Kluyveromyces lactis: one gene and its partners. The protein of the gene in region 2 purifies or fractionates together with the protein of the main gene of each other region. This does not show direct contact. Links are inferred from orthologs where the notes say so. Each region holds a gene or a part of one and is shown on either strand. Other genes may lie near its edges. The genes, in order: TAF13, TAF4, TAF2 and TAF7.

Region 1 (3,173 bases), on a different chromosome or scaffold from region 2:
ATACCTGTTAGATCACCTAATGCTTTGAGTGCACGTGGAAAATATATAGTTTTCCAGGAATTAGTTGGTAGAACAACCACAGTCATTAGGTCAGCAACGTTCTGTAAGTAATAATTTAGCAAGAATCTCGCTAACCCATGAACATGTACACCTGTTGTGGGAATATCAAGTAAAGGGTTTGTATTTCCTGGACGATTAAAAATGGAGGGATCAGGAACTTGAGAGTGAATCACTTCGATAGCACTTCTCGGCATAGTAGATCCTGGAACGTTTAGCTCCACAAAATTCCTCAATGGTACAATGCCAATGGTTTCCTTTGCATGACCACTTTTAGTTTCGGAAGTAATAGTCGGAGGTGGCGGTTGATCAGAAGATCCTCTTCTATGGAAGAGGAGCCGATAGACTCTAGCCAATTCGTCTTCATTATCGTTTCCAGATGTGCGACCGTCATTACAATTACCATTAACACTACCATTCTTTTTCCCCATATTATCTACTGTGAGAGGAGTTTGTGGCGTATCCGGTGTATTATTCTGACGAATACCCATAAATGGTATTGTTTCCCCTTGCACTGCGGACGCCGATAGTAATGCATCGTCCCGTAGTTCATTTGAGATCCACTCGTTCCCAGGAAACAACAAAGAATTCATATCGAATTCGAATAGGGAATGAAGCTGCTGCGCAGATGTATGATCATCATTAGCAGATGATGATTCCATATCTTCTGGAGTGCATAAATTTGTGCCCTCTTTCGAATCTGAATCAGCAGTTTTAACCTTATTTTTCTTATTAGCTAGTTTCTTCTGAGCTTTTTCGATGGCATTAATGAAAACTTGATTCTTCTTACGTTTCTTCCGTGGCACGTACCTTTTTTTGACCTTATCTGTGCCTTTGAACACACCAAATTTCTTTATAATCCAAGTCTTGTCTTCAGAGATGAGCTCTAAAGGAGGAGAGCTTAACGCTGATAATTCATCGTCCATATCCTCATAATACACATATTCCTCTTTGTACCGAACGAAATCAACGTTTCTTCTCTGATACTGAGGCTCATCTGGATCTTTGATTCCTGTAGGTGTTGCGGTCACATTACCCATAGTGTCAAACTGAATTGGCCGGGTCCACCGAAGTTTTACATCGTATCCTCCACATATTAACCCACCTTTCTCACATCGCTCACATCCGGGCCGCCGAAGATCACACTTTACTTTCCTTGATCTACATGTCCAGCATCCCGTGAACGTCTTCACTCTGGGCTTCGCAGGCTTCATTCCTGCTTGTATCCTCTTTGACTCACAGTCGCTGTGAAGGAAAAATAGCCTCCAATATTTACCAAACCTTCAATATCAACCACACGCAGATGAGCGTCTAAATGATGCCACTGTTGGAACAATAATATCTACTAAAACCTTATCTTGAGCGGTACTAATCGGTTTATTATCATTGCTCTGTTTATCTGATCCTCAGAAGATGCGATGTGGATCTGTCATGTCCTTTCCTCTGTTCGTCTTTTCTCAAAATTTTCACACAAGCGGAAGGGTTAGGCGATTTGTCAATTTCTTTCTCGCTAAAAAGCTCCCTATATAGCTTAACTGTTGGATGGACTGCGCATGATATTTGGGGACAAAAAAACGCAAGCGATTTTTTGCTGCGAAAAAAAAAAAAGCAAACTCGCACTATTCTTCGCTGTGTTTAAGTTGACAGTTTGACATAAAACTCAGAACCAGAATCAAAATCACGAAACAATGATCAAGCTATACAGTTTAGCTTATAGCGCATTCGTCCATTCCATGGAGTAGAGCTGACTAGTCGGTTGGAGTTCTAGATCAACACAGGAATGTCCAGAAGAATTCGTAAAACAAGTCTTTTCAGTAAAGATGTTGGCTCTTTGATGTATGCGTTTGGTGATGTCGCGCAACCTTTACCAGAGACCATTCAATGTGTAGACGAATTGGTGGTGTCTTATTTGAGCGATATATGTGCCAATGCGTACTACTCGGCTCAAACCGTGAAGAGGAATAAGATTAAAGTGGAAGATTTCAGATTTGTACTTCGAAAGGACGAGGTGAAATTAGGTAGAGCTGAAGAGTTGATTAAGATGAATAAAGTTATTACCGATGCCAGGAAACAATTTGATAATTCAGAGGGGAAATCTTTGAAACGAGTGAAAGATGACGGTGATGATGACCACATTTCGGCTGATGAAGATGAGGAGACGACAACGGTTCCTGAACCCGTTCCTACCTCACGTCCGGTAGGCAGACCAAGGAAAAAGGGAAATGAACCTCCTAAGAAGAAGAAACGGGAAACAAGCTGAGAGTTACATTCGCATTACCCCTAGCATATCTGTACTTGAAATCCTTCTCTTGCTGGGCAAAAGAAGTGAAAAAACAAAGCAATCCTCATATAAATTCTATCATTATAGTATTACGCCTTTCTGAACAAAATGCCATATTTATGCATACTTAGCGGCAACATATACGTTTATTTTTTCTATTAGCTATATATTAACCAAATGAATAGCTTATGAGAGGGTATTATTTGAACATAATCACCTTTATCTTCATAATTGGAATTTTCAGCTGGTTCTCCTGTAGTTCTTAATATCTATAAACAAATTGTCATATAAAATGACAATTTGAGAGGTTTTTAATCTATTCTTCGTAGTTGTAGGATGGATATTCAAGCTCCTCTCCTTCTTCGAGATAGTTTGGAACACCAATAAACTTGTTCCAGAGTTTATTGAGCTTTAGTACAGTGTACTTACTAACAGTGGAAGGTAGGTCCGTATAACTTGTTACGATAAACCGCAACGCTTGCTTGAAATTCTTCCATTCTACATCCCATGCTTCTTTGAATACACCGCTGGCCTGTTCACGAACTTCGGTATGTGTTTCTTTCTTCTTCTCTGGCATTTTTAGATCATTGAATTCATTTACCTTCTTTTCTACGTTACTAACGGATTCTTTTTCTTGAGATGAATGATTGGCACTGTTAAACTTATCATTCAATACTTTGAAGAAATTATCCAATTGGAAAAAGGAGGCCAGTTTTTCACCAGGACTCTTTAATTGATAGTTGTACATTTCTTCGAATCTGTTAACTGCTTCCACTGACTTTGACAATCTGTCAAAAGTGTTGAATAAAGCAATTAATTCGTACTTGGTAAGTTT
Region 2 (4,032 bases):
TATGCCCCTGCAAAGACACTAAAACTATCCTACAATATTTATCTTGAATGTTCCAAGCTTTATGGAATTGTTTGATACGATAATAATAAGTGCTACGCGAAGGAATTTGTGTTGACACATATGCATATAAATTTTATATATGAATACTTATGGGAGTCATTTTGTCAGATAAAATGATATGTAATGTCAATTATGCGATTTTCTTATTGGTGTTTGTGAATCCAATACCCTTGATTGTTGCGATTAGATCCGTAGTGTTATCATCCACTGGCTTCAAGAGTATTTCTGTACCGAAAACTTTCTTGATATCCCGTAAGAGCCATACAAATCTTTCATCTATTTGATCCTTAGTGATTCTGAGTCTTCCGATATCTTCTTTACCGATGATCATGTATAAAATTGTAAGTGGCAACTGGTTTCTTCCAACAACTCCACTTTTGCTTATTTCTTCAAGTAGATGATAGGCTACGGATGCACCAATATCTTCTGGAACATCCCCAGCGTCACCGATAGCTTCAGAAAAGATTCTCCATCCTTGTTTGTTCTCTGCTACGAGCGTTAGACCCCAACCTGGACTTTTACCTGAGTTTTCACCTCTCCATACATCTGCAGTTATATTTACTTCACAACTAGCAGATTTAAGAACTTTTTTCGCACCATCAATCATTCTATTTACAAGGGAGGGACTGACTCTTGTGGAGTATGAAACACCTCTTATACTTGAAATCATTGTTTTATCCAAGGCGTGCATTGTAATCGGTTGTGCAATCAATGAATCCACAACAAGGTGTACTTCACCACCACCTAAAGGAGGTGAACCTCTCTTCAAAGTATGTAATGCACATTCCCTGACGCCAAATTTTTCCATAATCGGCATCAACCCCCATTTTATCGCATCTATTCCAGCATCATTATGTGAAGATGTTATACCACGGAATAGGATTGAGAATTTCTTCTTTGAGAAGGGGGCTAAATACAACATTGGCTCGGCAAAATAGCCCACAGGTTTACTGTTCGGACATTGATGTGTGTATGAACCACCAGTAATTATTCCTGGTCTGAAGATGACGGTGGTACCAGTGTATGAAATTTCTATTGAACTACCATTCGTTACCGCTTCCATCAATCTTAGAAAAGAGACTTCGTAATCTTTTAAACCCGGATTTAGGTCATCAGAACGTATCTTTTCTATCTTTATAGCTTTTCCTGACAATGTAGCCATTACTACTCGTAAACGAAAGTTCCGTGAACCTTCAAAGGTTACGTATCTGGAAGAGGATGACATGTCCAATTTGTCTGTTTGTCTGTCCTACTTCGTGAGGAATAAATTTCCTGATAAATCTCTTTAGAGTTTTTAATACAGAAAGTGACCTTCTATCGGACGCTAATGGAATGGTTGATGGAAGTTAACTGAAACCTTTCGATATTGGTTTTGTGTTGTATGTTCAGTTAGGCGATGAGATGAGATGAGATACGCTTTTGACAAATTTTTTGCAAGGAAAAGAAATGAGCTTCGTTACCCGGATTATGTGATCTTTCAATCTTGAAAAAATCAAAGCCAGCAAACAATAGCATCTAAATGAAGAAAGAGGTAGGAACTAGATAGAACTTTTTAGCATAATGTTTAATACTCGCACGTTTTTTTATCTTTGTTGAAATCATTAAGGTTGTACGTTTTTCGCTGAAACTGGATTTTAATTGATAGGCCGCATTTGGACCTGTTTTTAAAGATTGACTTATTCTTTTCATAGTTTATTTGCCTGCATTTTTGGGACAAGTGCAATAGGTGTCCTCAAGTATCCAATACGATTCTTTTTACCCCCGTGTTTCACCAGAGAAAACTATCACTATTGGTCTAATTAGTATAAAATACGATGGCAAAATCGCCCAAGAGAAAGAATTCTGAACCGGAAGATTTATCTTCAAATAAACGTTCCAAATCATTCGAATTTGGCAAAGTAGAGAACGGGCTGGAACCCAGTGGCTCAGATTTTGGCAGTGATCTGCCTACGCCATTCGATACTATGGTTACAGAACAGCCATTAGCTCTACCTAAAGCATCATCTCCAACTACAAACCTAGCATCTCCGCGAAACTCAAGTACGCCAAATTTGAAGACGACGAGTACGACAAGCAAACAATCACAGAAAGCAGAACAGAAGAAGAATGCCGGGGGTTCAACAGGTAGTACGACTGCCTCAACTACAAAACCACAGCAAAGTGATCCAGACAAGCTTAGTGATGCTTTGTTATCGGCCGGTGTTGATATAAGAGAGGAAGAGGCATTGCTAAGTAGCACAGTTGCTAGAACAAAAGCAACCGGTATTTCAGCAAATAACCAGGTCCCATCTCATCCTCCATTCCTACATCCTAAGAACATTTCAGATTTCATGAAAAGAATTGCATCAGAACAAAACTTTCATCAAGATTTCAATAAAAACACTGATATACTCGGATTAATGTCTACTGCATGTGAACTTTACATGAGGGACGTGATAACGAACTCTTTAATCCTATCCATACATAGACGGAAAGGTGTTAAACTAAACACGGGAAGGAGGAGTGAAGTGAGTCGTTCTTTGAGGGATTTAGCATTAAGACAAAAGACTCAAGAAGAAAGAAGAGTACAGAGAAGAATAGCACTCGGTTTAGAAAAACAAACAACGGATGCTAGGTTAGATACTGAAGAGACTCAATATCGTGCATCAAATGCAACTGCCAATTTGATGATTGCAGGGGGTAACAAAAAAAAATATAGTTGGTTGACCGCTGGATCCAAGTCCAGCTCGACAGACCTAAAAAATCAGGGAAATGTTTCATCTGCTGTTGCAGCAAGGGGTGAAATGGGTATCAAATATAGAGAAGCAAGAGAAGAACCTGGCATCGTTATGAGGGACCTTCTTTTAGCTTTAGAAAATAGGCGAGTAGGAGTTAATAATGTTATCACTAAAGGATATGCTAGAATCAGAGACTAGCATTTCCAGTTACTTTGAGGAATAATATGAGTTTCCGAGATGTTCTGTAGTATGCATACTTATATAATATAAACCTTTCGATAAATAACATAGAGACTCATACTTGCATGCGAGATTACTTTTCCTTTTCTACCTGACATGTCGCATATTTAATATTTAAAGATAGTTTTCATTTTTTAGTATCTAAATACTCAAAATCACGTCAGAGACAAATAAAGTTTAAAAAAAATAGAGTTTATTAAACCATTACTTCACACGACGCTTTAATAAGTACACTAATGATCGACGCAATTCGGTACCATTTATCGTTTGTATCTATTATATTACTTTTTAACGAATCATATCAAGATACTTTTATATACTCCAGTCTTGTCAATGATTTGGTCATTGGTCAAAGGAGATCATCTAGAGAAATTGGAAACGAAGGAGGTACAATGACGAATTCATAAGAACGAATCTGCATGAACATCTGAAAACTCAATGCATATATATTTTTTTGGTTTTAGTTTGATACTCATGGGTAAACTAGAAAGAGATGAAGACACTAGCTAAACCTCCAATCAACAAAGATAGCGTACTTCTTGGGGCCAAAATTCTGGCACTATTTTCTTTATTGCCGGAATCAGATGTTGAGGTGGAACTTGCAGAGGAGGATGTAGTGCTTGAGATAGGGGTGGTGGCATCGACAGTTCCATTCCAGCAGTATTTTTCGAAACAAGCATCACATTCAGATGGAAGTGTATAATTTAGTGATTCTTGTTTCCGTCTCAATATGGCGCATGAGATACACCCCATAAAGTTCTCATCTTTAGTGAGATTTTTCATGGTGACAGCTTCGAAACCGTTTTGGATCATCTTAAACCTTTCGGAAGTGGAGTACGACATTTTAAACGTAGATGTGTTACTGTTGAAGGACTCCCTTGTGTTTGGCATATAAACTACTAAAGGTGGAATTGATTCTAGATCAGTCAAATTTCTTGCATCGCACCCAAAGAAGGTAGGTCTTGTATTTAATCCAAGATTGGTGAAAGTGTTCACATCTGGAACATAAGGGAAG
Region 3 (5,105 bases), about 350 kb from region 2:
AAATAACATCAGATTGAGACAACAACTCTTCAAAGGAAACGTATTCACAACCGTTCTCCAAATCACTGGATAATCTATTTCTGTTGTGATAGATGAACTTCTTGAAACCAAATGGCTTCAACCTCTCAATAATGGCACGGCCAATACCTCCTAGACCCAAGACACCAACAACTTTACCCTCGGGGTCGTGACCAACTGGTGCACCAGCGGCAGCGCCACCGGATGGCCATTTACCTTCTTCCATCAAACGATGACCGTACTCGAAGTTTCTTAATGCGCCTAGCAATAGGAAAACGTGAGTATCGGCAGTAGAATTGTTGACCAACTCTGGAACGTTGGAAATTTGGATGTGACGTTGACCAAATGGCGTAGGGTCAATTTGATCGTAACCGGCACCATTGTGACAAATAGCAACAACGGATTCCGGCAATGCCTTAGCCAATTCAGCATCAAATCTTCCAGTGTTCTTAACACTTGGGAACGTTCTGGTTAAGATTTGAGCCTTAGAAATTGGTGATTCCGGATCCTGACATTGATCTAAGAATTGAGCTCTTGTGAGGGATGGGTCAATTGGAATAACTTGTGCAATCTTTGAAAGCTCTTCCCATGCCTTTTGAGCGTACTTAACCTGACCTAATCTTAAAACAACTGGCTTTGACATCTTCACTTGATGCTGTCTTATCAACCTATCCGATCTCTTCAGTGACCTTCAGAAAGAAATTGGTATAGACTTTACGAATAGCGAAGATATAATTTAATGGTAATACCTCCCCTACTATATACTATAAAGGTGCAATTGAAGTGTCAAGTCGATACCGTCGCCTTTGCAATTGCTGTAACCTTATAAAGGTTTTGATGTTCGGTAGTGGTTTTTCCTGATTGCGTTGCAAAAACTCGTAAGAAGATACCCATGCAGCGTTTTTAATGATTACAAACAAGAAACAGATAGATAGATAGATAGAGAGATAGACAGAAGACATTCAAAAAATTCCGGTTAATACATCCTTTCATCTTGTGACCACCCGGAGCTTCCATCATCTGATAAACTAAGCATGCTATACTGCAACCCATAACACTTCACTTATGGATCATGTAATGCGAAGAGAAATGGATTGCTGTGTCAATCGCCCCTAACACGGTACCGTGGTTTCGAGATACGGGCAAAATTCCCGTTTTTCCTATTCCAACCACATGCCATTTTTACCTGAAGAGTGGGTAGAGAGAGTGTCGCCAGGTATTAACAGCTTTCCAAAGAGAAAGACAATCACGTGGTTCAAGGTGGAATGAATGAATGAATGTTCAACCGCCGCTGATGCCTTGTCATCCTAACCCGCATTACCCGGATAAATTTCTCGCATGGTCAATATTCAAACAAACAAAATCTTGAAATTTGAATAATATATATGCATCTGTATATGATATTATTATTATATACGTTGAATTGATATTGAAGGTATACTTAGAGATGCTTCGAAACGTGATATAGATAGAGGCACCAGACGGAATTGATCAGACGTTGAAACTTAAGCACTAAACTACGATTCTATTTGCGGTACTTCTGTACTTTGAATTTCAAACACAGAATATGGTACAAATGAAATCGACACCTAAGACACCAGGTTCGGCGTACCCAGTAGTGGAACAACAATTTGGACCACAATTCAAGGTTGCCCATCAGAGAGTACAGATAGATGTGGACCTTTCGAAGAACTGTATAGTGGGTACTACTGAGATGATTATTATGCCATTGACCCCTAATCTCGAATATATAGCTTTGGATTGTAAGAATATGAGAATAAAGGATATCATCTTTGAGAACAGACGGTTGGATAATTTTGTGCATGATGATCCTTACAAAAAACTGTCAGACTCTTACTTGAATAATTCTGAGGATGATATACTCTACAACTGTAACGGCATAGAACAGAGCCATCTATTAAGAAAGAAATTTTCAGAGTTTAACCATAATCCTGAAGGTTCATCCAAATCGCAGCTATTAGTTAAAGTGCCCTCCTCTGTGAAGATTCTGCCGCATGACGTAAACACCCTATCTGCGTACTTAGGAACCGCTGCTGGTACTTCCGGTATAACTCCCTCGTTAAGAAACACCCCGAGCACTTTCCCTAACGACACAATATATACCCCGTTGACTTTACGGGTAGACTACGAATTGGACCATCCACACACAGGTGTTTGCTTTGATACCATATCCCCTGAACCTCATCTTTGGAATGCTTATACAACAAACTCAGAACTAAATAGTTCTGTATCACATTGGTTACCATGCATAGACTCCTTGGATGAGAAATGCACATGGGATTTAGAAATATCAGTACCTAAGAGGGTGCGGGACATAGGAACCACTAAAGTTGTTGGTGCAAGAAACCTACGAAAGAGGACTGCAAGAGATAGGAGATCCAATTTGAATGCGAATGATGAACATATGAAGGAGGAAGACGATGATGAAGATGACGAAGATGAAGAGGAAGAGGATGATGAGGATGAGGATGGGACTATCCAAAACGAAGATCTGAATAGAGAAATCGTGGTCGTATGTTCTGAAATGGCAACGAGAAAGGTAACTGCCCATCCAATGGATATGGCAAAGAAGACAGTTTCCTTCCAGATATTCACTCCCGTGGCCCCACACCACATCGGTTGGGCTATCGGTGCCTTCCAGACTATAGAACTACCTTCAATCTTACAGGCCGATGAAGATGAAGAGATGGATGAATTTAAAATACCGCAACAGGAGCAAGTGTTAGCTGATGAGCCTCGTGATGAAATTCCTATATTTGTTTACACATTGCCAACTGTCGATTTGAACGAAAAAACTATCCTCAATTCTACTCTTGTTTGCCAGGAAATTATGGATTTCTATTCTAAAGAGTTTGGTTCATATCCTTTTACCTCGTACTCTTTGCTGTTTTTACCAACTTTAACGACTGACCTGATGGATTTCACAAGCGCCACCTTTTATAATTCCAGAATGCTATATCCTCCAGAAATTATAGACTTAATTTATCCTACAACCAACACACTTGCATGGGGTTTAGCAAACCAATGGTCTGGCGTTAACATCACTCCTCTAGAATTGAATGATTTATGGTGCGTTGTTGGCATGGCGGGATACATGGTATTACAATTAATACGAAAGCTCATGGGTGTCAATGAGTACAAATTCAGGATCAAAATGGCATCGGAAGCCATAGTTGAACAGGATTGGGAAAAACAGCCAATCGGAACTACTTTTGATTCTGCTTCTTTACCTATATCAACTCTATCAAAGGAAATTAATTTTATAAAATTAAAGGCTCCAATGGTGCTTTTTATTCTCGATAGAAGAATGACAAAAACAGAAAGGTCATTCGGTATGTCCCGAGTATTGCCCAAAATATACTTACAAGCTATGTCAGGGGAATTGACCAATAACTCATTGTCTAGTACCCATTTTCAGAGAGTGTGTGAACGTGTGAACAAAAATAGACTCGAAACTTTCTTCAAGCAATGGGTATACGGATCCGGTGTTCCAATATTCCGCATAACGCAAAGATTTAACAAAAAGAGAATGGCAGTTGAAATGGGCATCAGACAAGTTCAGATGCAGGAATTAGGATTAGGTAAAATCGTTGGAAAAGAAAATTTCAATTCTAGTGCTATGGAATATTTGCAAGATCAAGACAAATCTCCTACTCAGGTGTTCACCGGATCCATGACAATCAGAATCCATGAAGCTGACGGAACTCCGTATGAACATATTGTTGAACTAAAGGATGTATTTACAAAATTGGATGTTCAGTATAACACTAAATATAAAAGGTTAAAGAGAAGAAGGAAGGTTAATAGAGTGACAAAGGAAGCGAAAGAGGAAATCAATGAGGATACACAGGAGGAGGAAAATGCCAACGAAGATATAGTGCTTATTAATTGTATGGGGGATGTACTCGTTAGCAAAGATGACTGTAATAAATGGAATTTAACAGACCCAATGACAACTTCAGAAGGCGATGACTTACAGCAGCAGAATGAGGCTTTCGAATGGATAAGAATAGACTCCGATTTTGAGTGGATTTCGAAAGTGCACATTAATCAACCTGATTATATGTTTGCCTCTCAGTTACAACAAGATAGAGACGTGGAAGCGCAAGTGGAAAGTGTCAGGTTTTTTGAAGATGTGATTTTGAACGGCACATCTAATTCCCTTATATATTCCTCCATTCTCACTCGAACAGCAATGGATCCAAAATACTTTCATGGTGTCCGTCTTGCTGCTTGTAGAGCACTTTCAAAATTTACAATTAAAGCTGAAGAACAGCAAGAATTCAAGGGAGGCCCAAGGCATCTGGTTCAAATATTCAGGGAGCTTTTCTGTTACGAGGACTCTAATATTCCCAAAAACAATGACTTTTCCGACTATCCAAAATATTTCTTGCAGAAAGCAATCCCAAAACTTCTTTCTTCAGTGAAAAATGATGAGGGTGTTTGCCCTGCATTTGTTAAGGAATTCTTGCTTGATGTAGTGCGGTACAATGACAACACTGATAATATTTACAGCGACACTTTTTATATCACGGAATTACTTGAATCTTTGGTAGACTGTTCAATATCTGATATCAACGATACAAAGTATATTGATGAAGTTATGAACGAAATCCAGAGATTTTACAATCTAGATCAATGGATGTCTTCTTATCAATTTTTGACCACTAAGACAATCCAAAAACAACGACTGAAATTGGCAGTACATGGTCTTTATCACTATGAAGATTACAATGAACTTCTAAGCTCAACCATGTTGGACCAACCAACAACTGACCATCCTGTAATCTGCCACGCAAGAGAAGGACTGCAAGACATTGCTTTACAGGCTCTCAAAATTTTGCTAGTTATAGGAGGGATCAAGAATAAGGAAGTTTTGAAGTATTATTTCGAAACGCTTTGTTTCCACCCTGATGTATATATAAGGACAAAGTTAGTTGATACCTTCGCTGGTGCAATTGATCTTATATCCTCTAAGAATAGCATATCTGAGATTGAAGACGATATTGATTACATGATGAACGAGATATGCCCCACTGACCCCACCACAGTAGCATCGATTGTTG
Region 4 (5,167 bases), on a different chromosome or scaffold from region 2:
AATAAAAGCACCACAACTCACTCCATTGTCATTCTCGCCAATTTCTCCAGATTTGAGTAAGGTTAATCTTTTTGACAAAAATGGAAAACCTTTCAGAAGGGTATTCTTACCTGGAACAGGTTGGGTAGCAAGAGACACATGCATTCAAATCATGAAAGGTGCCAGTAGCCCAAAGACCGGTGAAAATACAAATTCTATCACGTATTAAGGTATGTACAGGAGAAGTATGATTAAGATGTATATATACACATATATAAATGATGCGCAAACTCGAATGCCAACAAAATTCTTGTAAAGACGATAATGAAACCCGAAAATTATGCTAAGATGGGTACGCTTTAATTCTAATCCTCGTTTTCATCGTAGAAATCCACTAATAAAGATGGTTTAAATGGCCACAGTGCAAATACTTTTGCAATTTCATCAATTTCCAAATACGTCAACTCGTAAGGTTTTTTCTTCAATAAGACTGGATCCAAACGAGAAATGAACCAATCACGAGCCCCATGCCCCAAAATTTCAATCATCTCTTCTACTGGTTTGGATTTAAGGATCATTAACTTTTGCGTTACGAAATCCCAATGGTCCAAATCTATGCTGTGATCCCTAGGGTTGATTTCAACAAGTGAAAGATCGTCTGGACTTTTATTATCTGAGGGAATTATCACGGGATCAAACTTCTCTATGCAATCTGGAAGGAACTTTTTTACTGAGTTTTCAGAAGTCGCAACGAGCTTTGTATTAGTAGCTAATTCGGATAGAAGAGTAAGCCTGTTTCTGTCTTTGTTTGAAAATGGTGCGAATAATTTCCTTGCAGTTTGCTGAGGTATCCAAACTAACATCTTGACCAGACCAAATCTTTGCATCCAATTCTGGTTCGCTATACACTGCAAATATTGCACGTATAGCTGTTCACCCTTTTTATTGGTCAAATTGGCAGCGATCAAGAATTCATTGTGAATATGATCTCTTTTCTGCATGCTAGGAGTAAGGACTCTGTCTTCATTTGTCATTTCTAAAAATGTCTCCCATTTATATGGATTTTTATTGTAATTAACCATCGATGGGTGATCCTTCAAAGTTGCTTGATACAACTCCACAAATTTCAATCGATCCTCTAACAGGACATGCTTCTTTGGTTTCAGTCTTTCATTAAGTATGACTGATTGAATCAAAGGCCCGGCGTATATATCCAGTATTTGTAAGCTTTCAGACTTGTAGTATGATTCTAAATTCAACTTGTCTAATATTTGGTTTATTACCTTGGGGTTTTTCTCAAATTGACTTCCATAACTGGTATGAATCTTATTTGCTAGTGGTAGAACCGACTTCAGAAACGAACTCTTGGTCATGATTAGGAAAAATTCTGTAGTGTATTTGACAATAGAGAACGGATATTGTATATTGGAGCACAGAACTCATATAGAAGGTGCCAGTTCCATCCAATGAGTGCAGATCTGCTGTGACTTGTTTACAACTTTCATCTGGACAAAATGAAGCGATGAGTTGAAATATGAGCTTTTCCATTTTTCAATTCGGAATTTTATAGTGATGATGACGCTGGTGTTATAAAGACACCTAGGATAGTTGCGAACTATAAGCTATGATCATCAGAAGTTTCAAACTATTTTAAGTAGTTACTCCCTGATAGTATACAGTAGTACTTTAACATGACTTGCAATGCATTAAGCCAAATTCAGCGTTAGTCTGGACGTTTCCACGTGATCAAAACTCGCTTCAAATTACATAATGGAGGAAATCGTGAAATTGGAAATAATGTTCGACGGAAAATGTTTAGCTATCTAGATGTACAGTGAAAGTAAAATGAATGGTTGACCCAATTGGTGTGACACATACGACAAGGGGTCTCTCAAAAGACAGTAAACATTCAGTTTTAGTACAGTATCCCACAATGGGTCCGATAATCAGAATTAACAAACCCAAGGAGCCTGAATCAGGCGGTGGAACGGAACCTAAACTAAAAAAGATCAAGTTAAAGACTGGAGGAAGCAGTTCCAGCAGCAATAATTCCAAGCCTGCACCAAAGCTTAAAATCAAACTGAAAAAGCGTGATAATCAAGAGGATAAAGATATCAGCAATAATAATAATGTGGGCACTTCGAAGGGAAGCTCGCGGCCCATGAAGTTAAAAATCAATCTAAAAAAACGGGAAGATTCACATCCACAATTAGTGCCGCACTCCCAATCGCATCAGCAGCAGCAGCAGCGCAAAAGTACGAGTGTTGTCAAGACTCCTAAGTTCAGAATCAAACCTGTACGAGTTCCCGGTGAAGGGTACGATTCTGAGGCCAGTGATGTAGAGGATGATCCGCTAATCGAGGAAGGTATAATTCTAAGAGTATTACCAGATTTGAGTGCAGAATTCGTTAAAAACTCTATAGAGAGTGGTGATTACTCTGATGTCAGTATCAAATGGAAGGGTGAGAGACACGCGGTTGTGAAAGTGAATGGGGTGCAATATGGTGCTGTATTAGTCAACTTGCCAAGTATAATCGAAGTTAACAAGAGTGTTGACAGAAAGAACTTATTGAAGACGTTTGACGTTAGTCAGATGTTAATATGTGTTCGTACAGTGAATAAGGAAGAAGAAGTGTTTTCTTTGCAAGTAAGCGATACGGAAGATCTTACTAAGAAACATTTTGAAGAGTATCAGAAGGAAATTACCGAGCAACGGAAACAGCAACTCAGAGGGTACAATGGCGGCCCATTGACTGATGCTGAAAGTAAAAACATCGAACAAATCATAAACAAGCGTTACGATTATAAGCATGGTATCACCCCTCCTTTGTATAATGCTCGCAACCGTCGCTTCAGACATAGGATGGGACCAACTGCCTTTGATTATGTGGAACGTACTGTTGAAAAATTATTGAAATTAGATGCTGAAGCTGAAGAGTTCGGGTACGAGCTAGTTAATGAGGATGCAATTCAACAGCAAAGGTCTACAAGTGCAGCAGATCTTGCACATTATCAAAAGGCTGGTGAGCATATGGATGAAACATCTTCTGTTGGCTACAGCCAAGAGATCAAACCACATCATGTTACAGGTGCCGCGGAAGAAGATGAGGAAGAGGATCATGAAGAAGATCTTGAATTGGAATTGGAACAAGCTCTACAAACAGAAACTACTGATGGTTCTATACCGGCAAGCATGGTTAATGGACCGGCTGGAGCAGCGATGTCTACAGATACTGGCAGTGTTGTAAGACCAGGACAACTTCTTGAGGAGACCGGTGATGACGTTGAACAAGATAACGGTGATGATGAAGACGAAGAGGAGGAGGACGAAGAGGAAGAAGAGGAGGAAGAAGAGGATGAAGAAGAGGAGGATGAAGAGAACGGTGCTGATGGATTATCCGGATCAGTTACAACAGGAACAACTAAGTCACGTGTCTCAGACAACGATGGTGCTAACGAAGAAGAGCAACACAGAGAATTATTACTTGATGAATTGAGGGAACTAGAAAGTACGTTAGAATTAAACCGGAATAAAGCCAGTAGGACTACGAATCCGTTGTTAAAGACAAGATTCTTAGAAAGTATCAAGAAGCTTGAGAAAGAAGTTGAATTGAAACGAAAACAGTTAGGAGAACCAGTTGTTGTAGACGATGCAGGAAATGTACAGACAGCTCAAGACATCTCAGAAAACGTACCCGATACTGAAGCCGGTGCAGTATCGAACAAGGCCGCAATCAGAAATGGCAGCGTTAGTAGCGGTGGTAGTGGCGTAACCGGATCGGCATCAATTCCAAACAATGCTACGATTACCAATGGAGTGGAAAACATTGGTACCGAAGGGAATCTTTATGAGGAGGAGGATGAACTAGAAGAAGAGGAAGAAGAGGAGGAGGAGGAAGAGGAGGGAGAAGAAGAGGAAGAAGAAGAGGAAGAGGAACAGGAAGAGCAACGGCCGGACGAAGAACCGCAACAAGGACAAGAAGCAAGACAAGGTACTGAAGAACTTGATCAAGATGACATGGATATGATGCTTCTTTTCGGAGCGGATAACGATTAGGTTTGAACTGAGAGAAAAGAAACCACTAAAAGAAAAACAAAAACAGAAAAAAAATCAATACCCGAAGAGACAATAAGAGATACGTGATGATTTAGCATGTTATCTGAGTTTGGAATAGCATTACAGCTTCCCATGCTCTACAAGGGTGAACGATATGACTGAATGCCTGAACGAATGCGTGAATGAGTTGTGTAATCTGAATGTATAACTGAATTTATCTAGAAGCATTTTTTTTTTTTTTAAATTCTTTAAAGGGAAGTAGAAACAAGAATCAAGACAGGCAAGGAAGTAATGGATGGAGATCAATGGGAAACACGGGGCAACAACAAGAGGAAAATTACGAATGCGAACCTCTTCTCGTTTGCCGAAGCCTCTTGACGACGGCACACAAAGGGAAAGAGGCAGCAGGTGTTAAGAGGCACCTCACTTCGCCGTTTCTTTTTACTGCCTACAGAGCGGCTGAAAGAAAAAGGCCCTGCCATGTACATCTCAAAAAGGTGAATTGCGCAAAAGAAGAGCCAAAGCCCAATGATTGACCCAGTGAAGACATAACATTTATAGAGAGTTAAGAATCACAGAATGGGAATGAGGGAAAATACCCGAATTATAATGGGTTAACTAAGTCCTGTTTTAGAACCGTTCCTGGTGGTCGCAAAAGAAAAAAAAAAAAAAAAAAAAGAGAGAGAGAAAGAGAAGCACAACTTAATTTCACCTCGACATCTTATGATATGGTAATTAGGAAAAAAAAGTACTACTGTCGGATTGATAGAGAATAGAACAGAATTGATTACTTAACTAACCAGTTTTGATCCCGTCTAATTCCGCAATCAAATACGGTCATGTATCTTGTCAACGTAAAAAAAAAAAATTGGAATTAGCTTTTGCCAAATGAGTGGGGCAAATAACCTCGTACACATACATAGAACATGAGATTAACACAGAGAAAGGCAGCTTTTCTTTTCAAAGACCATTCTCTAATTTCCAATTTCCCCTTCCTTCTCTTCCATTTCCTATCTGGTACAGCTACATAACATATAACGTAACATAGCAAAAACCCCCCTACCGATGTGTTCAGTTCCGAGAGAGACGGAGAATGAGTATTTAATCTACTCTACTAGTCACACTACTGCC

What was found.
Region 1: the proteins of TAF4 (region 2) and TAF13 purify together in Saccharomyces cerevisiae (affinity purification with mass spectrometry; 7 studies listed by BioGRID, with this or other methods). This does not show direct contact. The link is inferred for Kluyveromyces lactis from reciprocal best matches to the Saccharomyces cerevisiae genes TAF4 and TAF13.
Region 3: the proteins of TAF4 (region 2) and TAF2 purify together in Saccharomyces cerevisiae (affinity purification with mass spectrometry; 4 studies listed by BioGRID, with this or other methods). This does not show direct contact. The link is inferred for Kluyveromyces lactis from reciprocal best matches to the Saccharomyces cerevisiae genes TAF4 and TAF2.
Region 4: the proteins of TAF4 (region 2) and TAF7 purify together in Saccharomyces cerevisiae (affinity purification with mass spectrometry; 3 studies listed by BioGRID). This does not show direct contact. The link is inferred for Kluyveromyces lactis from reciprocal best matches to the Saccharomyces cerevisiae genes TAF4 and TAF7.

Annotation. Positions count from the first base shown.
Region 1 is NC_006040.1:863,026-866,198, forward strand, and holds TAF13 (Taf13p), read left to right. Parts: upstream 1-1,837; coding exon 1,838-2,317; downstream 2,318-3,173. Other genes in the region: ARG81 (Arg81p), read right to left, coding at 1-1,271; ERO1 (ER oxidoreductin), read right to left, coding at 2,655-3,173. UniProt on the Saccharomyces cerevisiae protein: Functions as a component of the DNA-binding general transcription factor complex TFIID. Binding of TFIID to a promoter (with or without TATA element) is the initial step in pre-initiation complex (PIC) formation.
Region 2 is NC_006039.1:526,159-530,190, reverse strand, and holds TAF4 (Taf4p), read left to right. Parts: upstream 1-1,874; coding exon 1,875-2,975; downstream 2,976-4,032. Other genes in the region: MVP1 (Mvp1p), read left to right, coding at 1-22; RCL1 (rRNA-processing endoribonuclease), read right to left, coding at 191-1,285; PLB3 (lysophospholipase), read right to left, coding at 3,501-4,032. UniProt on the Saccharomyces cerevisiae protein: Functions as a component of the DNA-binding general transcription factor complex TFIID. Binding of TFIID to a promoter (with or without TATA element) is the initial step in pre-initiation complex (PIC) formation.
Region 3 is NC_006039.1:176,959-182,063, forward strand, and holds the start of TAF2 (transcription initiation factor TFIID subunit TAF2), read left to right. Parts: upstream 1-1,585; coding exon 1,586-5,105. Other genes in the region: GOR1 (glyoxylate reductase), read right to left, coding at 1-661. UniProt on the Saccharomyces cerevisiae protein: Functions as a component of the DNA-binding general transcription factor complex TFIID. Binding of TFIID to a promoter (with or without TATA element) is the initial step in pre-initiation complex (PIC) formation.
Region 4 is NC_006038.1:736,139-741,305, forward strand, and holds TAF7 (TATA-binding protein-associated factor TAF7), read left to right. Parts: upstream 1-1,828; coding exon 1,829-4,036; downstream 4,037-5,167. Other genes in the region: KLLA0_B08261g (uncharacterized protein), read left to right, coding at 1-208; MTF1 (RNA polymerase specificity factor), read right to left, coding at 345-1,352.